3 linked regions of the Notamacropus eugenii genome follow. The protein of the gene in region 1 purifies or fractionates together with the protein of each later gene. This does not show direct contact. Links are inferred from orthologs where the notes say so. Each region holds a gene or a part of one and is shown in the gene's direction. Other genes may lie near its edges.

Evidence for each region.
Region 2: the proteins of RC3H1 (region 1) and FAU purify together in Homo sapiens (affinity purification with mass spectrometry; 3 studies listed by BioGRID, with this or other methods). This does not show direct contact. The link is inferred for Notamacropus eugenii from reciprocal best matches to the Homo sapiens genes RC3H1 and FAU.
Region 3: the proteins of RC3H1 (region 1) and CNOT11 purify together in Homo sapiens (affinity purification with mass spectrometry, with the first as the bait; 4 studies listed by BioGRID). This does not show direct contact. The link is inferred for Notamacropus eugenii from reciprocal best matches to the Homo sapiens genes RC3H1 and CNOT11.

Annotation. Positions count from the first base shown.
Region 1 is NC_092873.1:472,383,289-472,387,031, forward strand, and holds the start of RC3H1 (roquin-1), read left to right. Parts: upstream 1-1,057; 5' UTR 1,058-1,299; intron 1,300-1,391; exon of another isoform or gene 1,392-1,477; intron 1,478-3,743. UniProt on the Homo sapiens protein: Post-transcriptional repressor of mRNAs containing a conserved stem loop motif, called constitutive decay element (CDE), which is often located in the 3'-UTR, as in HMGXB3, ICOS, IER3, NFKBID, NFKBIZ, PPP1R10, TNF, TNFRSF4 and in many more mRNAs.
Region 2 is NC_092873.1:17,821,174-17,824,916, reverse strand, and holds the start of FAU (ubiquitin-like FUBI-ribosomal protein eS30 fusion protein), read left to right. Parts: upstream 1-1,385; 5' UTR 1,386-1,617; intron 1,618-1,812; 5' UTR 1,813-1,820; coding exon 1,821-1,895; intron 1,896-1,993; coding exon 1,994-2,138; intron 2,139-3,721; coding exon 3,722-3,743. Other genes in the region: MRPL49 (large ribosomal subunit protein mL49), read right to left, coding at 1,216-1,305.
Region 3 is NC_092877.1:174,374,984-174,378,726, reverse strand, and holds the start of CNOT11 (CCR4-NOT transcription complex subunit 11), read left to right. Parts: upstream 1-1,456; 5' UTR 1,457-1,494; coding exon 1,495-1,990; intron 1,991-3,743. UniProt on the Homo sapiens protein: Component of the CCR4-NOT complex which is one of the major cellular mRNA deadenylases and is linked to various cellular processes including bulk mRNA degradation, miRNA-mediated repression, translational repression during translational initiation and general transcription regulation.

The DNA of each region.
Region 1 (3,743 bases):
GGAGTCCCGGCGCCGGGTGCGGAGGGGCCCAGGAGGAATTGGGTGAGGGGTGCCCCGGGACCCCGGCGGGGGAGCGGCTGGCACCACTGGGGCGAGCTTTAAAAGTCCCAGCACACGCGTCCAAGTTTCCACCTGGCTCTGGACCCTTAGGTCCCGGCAGTCGCGGCGGGGGGCCCGGCCTCGGGTGTGTCCGAGGGAGACCGGGTCTCGGCTGCCCGGACGCGGGGCCTCGGTGCTTTTGTTCTCTCTCCTTCCCCAAGGCCTCCTCCACTCCCCCTACTCTCTCCACTTCCCTCCCTCCTCCCTTCCGTTTGTCCCTCCCCACTCCTATCTCGTCTCCTTCCTTTTCCCTTGCTCTCCTCTCCCCCTCCTCCTTCCTGCTTTTCTTCCTGCCCCATTACTCCTCTCTCCTCTTTCCCCTCCTCATTTCCTCCCTCTCTCTATCCCTCCTACTTTCTCTCTCCCCTCCCCATTCCTTGTCTTTCCTCCTCCTCCCTCCCTTTATCTTCTCCTCTTACCTCCTCCCCGCCCCTCCCTCCTCTTGCCTCCTCCCCGCCCCTCCCTCCTTCCTCCTCCCCGCTCCCCTCTTCTCTCCTCCCCGCCCCTCCCTCCTCCCCGCCCCTCCCTCCTCCCACCTCCCCCGCCCCTCCCTCCTTCCTCCTCCCCGCCCCTCCCCCCTCTTGCCTCCTCCCACCCCTCCCTCCTCTTGCCTCCTCCCCGCCTCCTCCCCGCCCCTCCCTCCTCCTCCCTCCTCCCCCGCCCCTCTCTTCTTCCTCCTCCCCGCTCCCCTCTTTTCTCCTCCCCCGTCCCTCCCTCCTCCCCTCCCCTCCCTCCTCCCACCTCCCCCGCCCCTCCCTCCTTCCTCCTCCCCGCCCCTCCCTCTTCTCACCTCCCCCGCCCCTCCCTCCTCCCCGCCCCTCCCTCTTCTCACCTCCCCCGCCCCTCCCTCCTCCCCGCCCCTCCCTCTTCCCTCCTCCCCGCCCCTCCCTGCTCTCTCCTCCCCGCCCCTCCCCCCTCCTCTTTCCCCTCCACTCCCCTCCTCGTCCTCCTCCCTTCCGAAGGGGAGGAGCCACGGCGGGGTCTCGGCCCAGAGCCGCGGCGGCGGGCAGGGGCAGCTGCGGCGTCTACCGCGGGAGAGAGGAGGAGGAGGAAGAGGAGGAAGAGGAGGAAGAGGAGGAAGAGGAGGAAGAGGAAGGCGCCCAGGACCCCGGGCGGCGGGGAGGCGGCGGCGGCGGCGGCGCAGGAAGAGGCTGCCCAACAAGATGGCCCCTGCTGCCGGAGCGGCCTCGGCAGCAGCAGGTGGGAGCCGGGAGGCGGCGCTGGCGGCGGCGGGGGCCGTGGCCCGGCGGCCCGGGTCCGAGGCGGCGGTGGCGGCGGCGGCGGCGGGGGCGGCGGCGGCGGCGGGGACCGTGACGGCGGCGGCGGCGGCGGCCGCGGGGGCCCGGAGCTGAGAGGCGCTGCCGCTCGGACCGGCGCGGTGAGTGAGGAGGAGGCCGCCGCGGGCGAGGGGAACAATGGGGGCCGCGGCGGCGAGCGCGGGGAGGCTCCGCTCTCGGCCTGGGCCTCCGCCGCTAGGCCTCAGGCCTCCGCCGGCCTCGAGTGGCTCCGCCGCCCGTGGGGATGGGGGGGTTGGGGAGGCCGGGGCCGGGCTCCACCCTGCCCGCGGGGCGGGCATCTGCGGACGCGCCCGAGATGGTTTCCAAGGACCCCGCGGTGGTAATGGTGGGAAACCTGGACGCCGGCTCCTCGATCGAGTGATTAATTGATTGATTGATTGATGGATTGATTGGGGCTGGGGGCTGCTTGGACCTGCTGGAAATGCCCCGCCCCTCCATAAGCCCGCGGCCGCGCTGAAGAGCCGCCTCCTCGGTCAGCTTGCGACCCCAGGGGAGGGGGTCTCCGGGCTAACCCCGCTTGGGCCGGGCCCCGGACCCGGGGTGGGGGGGTGTCTGTATGTCTCGGTGTTTCCTTTGGGCCCGTCCCCGCGTGGTGGGGAAGGGGAGAGACGGGCTTGCCTGCCTCTGCCCCCCATCGTCCGTCCGGGCCCTGGGGAGGGGGCCCTCCTGGGGCGTCTCTGCACTGTTTACGTCCTAAAGTGACAGAACTGGAGGCAGCACGGTCACGTGTGCAAAACAAAAAGCACCGAATTCCCCGTAAATAGGATTCCCCTTCATTTGGACGATAATCCCGCGTGGCAGGAGAAATGCCATGAAATCTGGCAGAGGACAAAACCCCTCTCTGCAGTGAATCTGTCTCTCCAAGACACATGTGGTCAGACCCAGGAACACAGCTCCTGCCCTCCTGGCTCCCCAGAGTGTGCTAGGATTTTGCTTTTCAGTCCTTGGCTTGGAGTCATTCAATGCCAACCTTTCTCTTTCCGAATTGGTTGGAAATTTGGATGTTTGGTTTGGGTGGATTATTTTTTTTTTTTGTGAAGGAATGAAGTATTCATTTTTTTGGAGTAAAAATTTTGCCAACAGAAATGGCAACATGACGGTTTTTGCTCTGTCCTGTAGTGCCATTTTTCTAAAAGTTCTGTCTTATACCTGCCTTTTGCACCGTATCTGATTTTTTTAGGGGCACAGACATTTTAATCCATTTATAGGGATAAGAAAAAGGAGCCCTGTGATATTTTGTGCTTGGAGTTTGCGAGTGTAGGCACTAATGTTCAAGAAGCTTGAATACATCAAAGGAAAACATTGTTCTAAGCATTCCTCTGCCCAGGAGAAATGCTCATTTCTGTCCTAAAGGCAAGATTTATATTCTAACACCTTTCACCTATTGGATTCTAACATTATAATTCAGCTTGGACTCAGGCTTCTTGTCATTGAAAGTTGATGCCTAAAGAGTGTTTTTCATTTTGTAAGGTTAAATCAGCATTTTATTTTCCAGTGTATGTATCCCTAATCGGCATTTAGAAGAATGGACAGTGAAGAAATACTTCAGTTTAGGGAAAAGCAGTTCTACATTGGCCTTGAAACTGTGCTTCCTTACTATGGTCTTGGGAGACTTAAAGTATAACTCTTTTGCCTTCTTTTTTTTTTTTTTTTGCCTGACCTAAATATCTTATTCTGTGCCTCTTAATGTAAGGTGGGTATTTTTTACTTTCATTGAACACTTGTGTTTAGTTCCTGCTCTAGTAAGTATGGTTTTGCAAAGCAAATCTATGTTTGTCTTTTTCAACTGAGTATTTTCGGGTTAACTGAAAGACGTTTGAAGGAAGTGATAAATTCCTCTCAAATCCTTCACATAATATATTTCATCTCAGTTAAGGTCCTAGTACTGAGTACCACATCTTATTGTCATTGTGTTTTGGTCCACCTCTACACTGGTACAAACTCTGTCACCTCTGTAACTTCAAGTCTTAGTGACTTGGAACAATGAGAAGTTGTGGCTTACTTTCCTGATCACAACTAGTCTGTGTCAGGTAGAACTTAAATCCAGGTATCCTTGCATCCAAAGACAATTCTTTATCCACTCTTGCTCTCTGTAGGCAAGTTTAAAAATATACAAGGTTAGAGTCCTTTGGAAATAAAATCTAATTGTGTTAGACTGGGGATAATTTACCTGATAAGTAACAACTTTAGCCAGTTATGGTAGGAATTTTGTATTTGCACTTAAATGAGCAAAGTAATTATGAATTAAAGTTTGGTACTTTCATATTGAGTGATACAGAATCATGATTTTTTCCTGAGTAAATCATTTTAGATCTATTAATTGCTATAGAAATACACCTTTTCAGT
Region 2 (3,743 bases), about 450 Mb from region 1:
CACCAAAATAGCCAGACCACCTTTTAGAGTGGCCAAGTAACAAGGGAGGGAGGGAAGATGTGCGAGACTTGGAGGATGCCGAGGGGAAGATGCCACGAGAACAGAAACCTGAGTAACAACACAAGAAACCATGCTGTATAATTGGGGGAACCAGGCTTGGTCCCTGGAAAGGAAAAGCCTCCCCCCACCCCCACTGCCAGTCAGTTTAGTTTCAGTGACTTTTGATGAATCCCAGTTTTCTCCCTTATTTTCTAATGGTTGTGACCAGAGGTAGCAAACAAGAGGAAGGCTCAGTTTCTCCAGGCTCATGGCCTCAGGCCTGGACCCCGGCAGGGGCCTCCCTAGCCCGGGCTCACTCGGCCAAGGACCCACCAAGCCTGCGCAGCCTGGAGGGCATCTGGAGGCAGGGAACCCCGGGGAGTCTGGGTCAGCTCCTCACCGGCCTCTCCTCCAGGCCCTGCTCCTGACTCCCCAGATTTCTTTACCCGTCACTCCCCTGGAAGACCTTCCTCTCCCGAGGCTTCTCACCTGGAAGATCTGGCCATTCGGAGGACCCCTTTCTCGGGGTCGGCGCCTCCATGTCACTGATGGCCGGCGGAGTCCCCAGCACTGGGCCGGGCCCCAGGGGCACAGACTCAATGGGGGGTGGTCCCTCGGCCTCTGACATCGCTACGGTGATTGGGTAAGGGTCGGAGGGTGGCGGCGCGGCCCGCCCGCCTCGAGGACGCACACCCCCCCACCCCCACCTCCCGGCTTGGCCCCTCGAGGTGGGTCCCGGGAAACTCCACGCGAGACCCCGCGGCAGCGCCCCCAGGGCCCCGACACTGGGTAGGGGGCAGCCCCTTGTTTCACAAAGCGGGAAACCGAGGCCGGGGGGGTCCTGGACCCCCAAAGTCGGCCGCAGCCAGGCAGCAATTATTAGGTGCCTACTGCGTGCCGGGTGTGCTGGAAAGAGGACCCGGTAAGGGTTCAAGCGCGGCTGCACCGCGGTTCCCCGGCGTGATCTCGGCCTTTGTGGGTCTCGGGGGTCCTTTCCAGAGCCGACATGCTAAGGGTCAGGGGTCAGCAGGCCCGGGCCTCTCAGGGCCTCAGATTCCCCACTTGAACCTCGGGGCCCGAGAAGAGGCTCTGACGCTCGGGGCTGAAAACGACGCTTAGAGATCAGACTGCTCGACAGGGTTCCCTCCCCCCAGACACAGGCGAGGCCGCGTTCACCTGCCAGCGGAGTCCGCAGGCCGGGCGTCCTCGCCGCCCGCCAGCCCTCAGCCCGGCACGCAGGTACGATACAACCACCGCTGCCGCCATACCGCAGCACCCTTCAGCCTGGGTAAGGACTTCCGCCTCCTCTCTAGCCCCGCCCACTGCCCTCCTCGCGCAGGCGCCGAAGCACGCGGAGCCGGGCCCTGCCTCCCTTTCCCTCGGGTCAACCCCGGCTCGAACGCGCGACTTCCTCCGCCCTTCCTTCTTACGATCGCTCCGATTGGCTAAAGGGGACGTGCGCGTCCCTTACGCAATCACGCCGACGGCGTGTTGCGACTAACGTGCGCGCGCTCGCCTCCGCCCTCTCTTTCTGGGCTCCATCTTCTCCGCGACGGAAGCAGGACTAGCGCGTCCGAGGTAAGTGCGCGACCCCAGGCCAGGGAAGCGGGGAGGCCGAGGCACGAGGCGTCCCCCGAGTCCAGGGCGGGGCGGTCATCCGGCCCGGCCCTTCCCCGGCCAGGCCTCAGCCCTTCTTCCCTCCCCGGGCCTGTGCCCGTTCGAGCGCCGCTCGCCCCCGCCCCGGGCCTCAGCCCCGCTTCTGTGCCCCCACAGTCGCCGCTATGCAGCTGTTCGTCCGCGCGCAGGCGCTGCACACCCTCGAGGTGACCGGGCAGGAGGCCGTCGCCCAGATCAAGGTAAGCGAGGCCGGGCCGCCGCGCTGGGGGGAGGCAGGGAGGGATGGATCCTCCCAGGCCGCGGGCGGCCCCGAGCCCGGTGGTTCTCTGTCTTCCAGGCCCATGTGGCGTCCCTGGAGGGCATCGCCCCCGAGGACCAGGTCCTGCTTCTAGGGGGCTCGCCGCTGGAAGATGAAGCCATCTTGGGCCAGTGCGGGGTGCAGCCCCTGTGCACCCTGGAAGTGGCCGGCCGGATGCTAGGAGGTAAGGGACTGGCTTTTGAGCCTCCGTGCGGACCTGGCCGGGAGGCATCGTTGCCCCGTCTAACAGAGATGACGTGGATCTGCCCGCGGTCACACCTCGCTGTCCGCCCAGCTCCTTCTTGAGCGGTGATTGATTTAGAGTCGTTACTTTTACAAAGCAAGTGATAGCGTCTGGTTCTGTTTATTTCGTTCTGCAAGTCACCGTGTGACCTGGGGGACGCTGGCCCAGAACGGGCTGCGGCGCATCAGAGAAGCTGCTGTGCTCTCAGCAAAGAAGGCATGGTGCACAGATTTAGAGAATTCACCCCAAATGTGCACATGGGCCATTTGTGCCCGACCTGTGCCGGAGCCTTCCAAGCTTGTATCGGTCTGGTCAGATATAATGAAATTTGCCGCTGGCATAGTGATGTCATTTCGGTCCTGGGCGCAACCGACCAACCTACTTCACTCTGCATCAGTTCTAAGTTCTGAATCCATTTTTAACTTCTTAAAGCATAGTAGCATTGTGTTACATTCACGTCCCATAGATTTGTTCAGCCATGCCTCGCTTCTAGGGCATTGCCACCACGAAAAGCTACTTTGGATCATTTTTGTATAAAAAGGTCTCTTTATATCATCGTATCTAGGCTTAGTATAGATCTCTTTGGGCCAAAGGGCTTGCATTTGCGGGGCATAACTAACCCTAAATGAATTGTTTTCCAGTTTGGCTGGACCAACTCACAGGTCCATTGTGCCTCTTCTCCCATCACCCTTCAATTTTGCCCCTCTGATGAATGTAAGGTAGAACCTCAGAGGGGCTTTACTTTGCATTTTAATTATTGGTGATGTGGGGAAAGTTTTTAGTTTGAATTCCTTGAGATTTGCCTGCCCATAACTTTTGACACTTTACCAGTTGGAGTATGGTTCTTAATGTTGTGAATTTGTATCAGTTCCTTATATAGCTTGGTAATAAGGCCTTTGTTAATGAGGCTTTTTGCAGATTCCCTCTCACCCCCCCAGTTAATTGCTTCCTCTCATTTATGTAATCCAATTTGTGCGTTTTATCTTCACTTAACCTCTTTATTCCTTGTTTGATCGTGACCCTTCCCTGAAGGTAATTTCTCTTGTTCCTCACATTTGTGATTCAATCCTTTGTTTCTAAGGCAGGTATTATTTGTACCCTATCTTGATGGAATTTAAGCAAATACTACCTACACTTTAATTCCAGCAGATGCTCATCTTTGCAGCATTGAGGTCCTTAATGTGCTGATATTTACCCCTCTAGTCCGAGTGGTACTTTCTGCCTCCTCAGAGTACTTTCTGCCCTTGATCAGTTTATCATGCAGTGGTTCATGGCATTCACTTGACCACATGAACAATTCCCATGAACCCAATTCAAGGGTTTGTTTTAGTGACTTTTTTCTCTTTGGAGGCCTCAAAAACAGTAGTGGGGAAATAGGTGCTTTTTGGAGCTTTGAACTATAGGCTAGTTTCTTCCCAGAATCTGCTGTTTTCCCATTGGACTGCTTGTTGACCCTGTGAACGCTTAAAAGTAATACTATATGTAATTCTCATGATTTATATTTGTCTCATTTCACCCCTCAGGTAAAGTCCACGGCTCTCTGGC
Region 3 (3,743 bases), on another chromosome or scaffold:
CATTGATTGGGGGTTGCCTGGGACAGACTGAGACCTGGGAAAGACCTTAATTAAAAAAGGCCAAGATCTCCCACTACATCAGGGGCCACCGCCAGTCATTTGGCACTGGACCCAGAGGGCTCTGGAGGAGAGAATGGGGCTGGTGACTTTGCGCAGCCCTGTCTCACTTCAGTCCAACTCCCTTGCAACAAAGGACAAACCACTTATCCTGTATGGCTTATTTGCATATTTTCCCCATTAGATTGTGAGCTCCTCACAGCCAGAAGTCTTTTGCCTCTTTTTGTATCTCCAGAGCTTGGCACATAGTAGGGGCGTAATAAATGTCCTGACTTTGACAAAGCAGCTAAGCTCTCTGCGATTCAGATTCCTCATTTGTAACATGGGAATAACGCCTGCTGCACAGGGTTTGTGGGGAGGTTTACTGAGGTCACATTTCTTGCCTCCAACTCAGGGCCTCAAGAGGTCTGTGTAACGGTGTCGGCACTGAGCAGGGTGACCTCAGGCTCTCGGCGTCCTTCACTGTAAGATGGGTATAAACCCTCCCAATGCCAGTGTAGGAAGCTCCAGGATCCAGCTGTCATTAATGAAGGAGGGCCATCCGCAAGCCTCACAACAGCGTGTAAGAGTGAGCCGGTGGCAGAGTTTAGCTCCAGCTAGGACCTGGTTCTCTCAAAATTAACGCATTTTCCCCAGTTGCTAGGTGGTGCACCGCAGTCAGGAAGACTAATCTCGTAGAGTTCAGACGCTTACTGGCTGTGTAGCCCTGCTTGTCTCAGTTTCCAATAAGCTGGAGAAGAAAATAGCAAACCAAGAAAACCCCAAATGGGGTCACAGAAAGTTGGACGTGACTGAGCTGACGGAACAGTAAGACAGGAAAAAAAATGACAAATCATTCTTCCAGCCAACAGGGGCGCTCAACTGCGGCTCCACTGGCACACCCAACTGCGCAGCCGCTCTCCTCTTCCCTCGGAATGGAGGAAGTCGTTGATACCAAGGGGCCCGACTCGCCCCCGCCTCTGCCCGAGGCCCCGCCCCTGGTCCCAAACCTTCTCCATTCTTTCCTAAGTCCCACTCCTTCGCCCTCTCTTCCCAGGACCCCGCCTTTTTCTTTCTGGCCTTGCCCCATCTCCTACTTTCTCTCTTCCCAACCAACCTTATCCCCTCTGTTCCATCCCCTCACTCTGAGCACGTCCGTTCCATTACGTAATCTCCCTAGCTCCTCCTCCCCTCCGCCTCTCCGTCTCCTCGATTCCAGCCTGTCTCTCTTCTCTTCCCAGCCGTAGGAGCGATGCTTTACGACACTGTCGTCTAACGGCGGGTCTTTACGGCAGCGACCGGCGGCAGGACGGCAGCGGCCGTGGCAGCGGGAGCGGGAGTTTGGGCGTCAGTGGGGGCGGCAGTGCTGGACGGAAGCGGAGGGGGCGACGGATCCGAGCGTTTAGGCCAGGCCAGGGCCGGGGCGCGGGGCCGGAGGCGGCGGCGGCGGGGGGGTTGATGCCCGGCGGCGGGGGGAGCCCGGCGCCCTGCAGTCTCCTGGCCGCCTCGGAGCCGCGGGGGGGCGAGGAGGCAGCGGCGGCGGGGCCCGGCTCGGGCGGCCCCGGGGGCTCCTCTTGCGGCCCCGGGCTCGGCGGCGCCGGCGGCGGCCCCGGCGGCAGGATGAGTCTGACCCCGAAGGAGCTCTCCAGCCTGCTGGGCATCATCTCGGAGGAGGCCGGGGGCGGCAGCACCTTCGAGGGCCTGTCCAGCGCCTTCCATCATTACTTCAGCAAGGCGGACCACTTCCGCCTGGGCTCGGTGCTCGTGATGCTGCTGCAGCAGCCGGACCTGCTGCCCAGCGCGGCGCAGCGCCTCACGGCGCTCTACCTGCTCTGGGAGATGTACCGCACCGAGCCGCTGGCTGCCAACCCCTTCGCGGCCAGCTTCGCACACCTGCTGAACCCGGCGTCCCCGGGCCGGGGCGGCCAGGAACCGGACAGGCCGCCGCTCTCAGGTACGGAACTGCCACCCGGCCCCGCTCCGGCGCGGAGCGTGTCCTGGGGCGTTGGAGCGTCTCGGGGGCTATCTCGGCAGGTGTGCTAGTGGGCTGTGAGCCTGTCATGGCCCCCCCTTGGCTCTGTGTCCTGGGCGACTGAGCCTGTCATGGCCCCCCTTGGCTCTGTGTCCTGGGCGACTGAGCCTGTCATGGCCCCCCTTGGCTCTGTGTCCTGGGCGGCTGAGCCTGTCATGGCCTCCCCGCCCCCCACCGGTGTTCTCAGCTGGACAGTGAGGAGTTGTGCTGCCCCATCAGGGGCAAAAAAAAAAGTATGCTTCAAAAAGCATTGCTGTATAGTTTTAGGATTTGTCAGTAAGCATTTATTATGTACCTATTTATTAATTACCTATTAGTAACTATCACAGGCACTGAGGATCCCGAAATAAAATGAAGCTTTCAGGGAGCTTGTATTCGTTTGGGAAATTAACAAATGCAAATATAATTAAATATAAAACTTATACAAAGTAACTTCCAGGAGAGTAAGCACTAGCAATCAAAAGGACCAAGAAAGGCTTCTTGTAGGAAGTGGTCCTTGAATTTAGGAGAGTAGAGATTCTGAAAGAAGAGTGGAAGTGACGAGGTTGTAGATTCCATCAATAGGTGGACAGTCTGGAGGTAGAGCATCAGTCTCAGCAAGGAGGTCAGTATAGCTAGAATAAAAAGGAGAAATACGTAACATCTGGAAAGCTAGCTTGTGAAGGACTTGAGTGCCAAAGGGAGGAGTTTTTATTTTAGACTAAAAATAGTAGGGTACTAGTAATAGCTACCCCAGCTTTTTGAGCCAGGGAGTGACATTGTCAGGTCTAGATTTTAAGAATTTCACTTTAGCAGCTGTGTGGAAGTTGGAGTGGAGAAGAATAACTTTTATTTGAGTTAATATGAAACAAATTGGCTCTGCTGTAACTTTTAAGTCCCACGGAGGAATGGATAAACAGGTTAGAGGATTTCAAGAGAATTCTTTTAAAAGTGTACTTGTCCAATTGTGTGTCCTAGTGGAAATAGACCTGGACTAGGAATTAGACCAGTATTCTAATCCAAGCTTGTTGCTTATCTTTGGCACCTTTGACCAAGCTGCTTCACCACTTTGGACTTCAGTTTCCAAATAATTTCCAAAATGATTGAGACTAAGAGACCTCCAAAGTACTTTCTAACCGTAAATATTAAGACCTTAAGTTTGAATAATAAATAGTCTGCTTTTCTAGCCTTATCTCAACCAAGCTGAACTACTTTTTCCCATTCTCTTTCTTGATAGTTTTTATGTAAAGTTTTCAAATCATTTTCATTATCTGTAGTTTTAAGTCTAATCTTCATTCTAAGCATTATATGGTGAGAAGGTAGGGATCATACTCAAGTTCATCTTGTCTAAAGTAGATTACTGCATGCCATATATAAAATGAACAGCTATGTAGCAAGGATAAGGATAGATCACCTGGGGCTAGGTTCAGGTGTTTTCTTTAAGGAAAGCTGCTCAACAGAACCAGGAGAACATTATATACACAGTAATAGCCACAGTGTGTGAGGACTGTTTCCGATACACTTAACCCTTCACAGCAATGCAAGTAGAGCACATAAAAGATTGCATGCTATCTCAGGGAGGGAGGGGGAGAAAAGTTAAATCTTGTGGAAGTGATTCTTGAAAACTGAAAACAAATTGAATTTTCAAAAAAAATGTTTTTAATCCCTCAAAAAAAGGGGGGGGGGGAAACTGGTC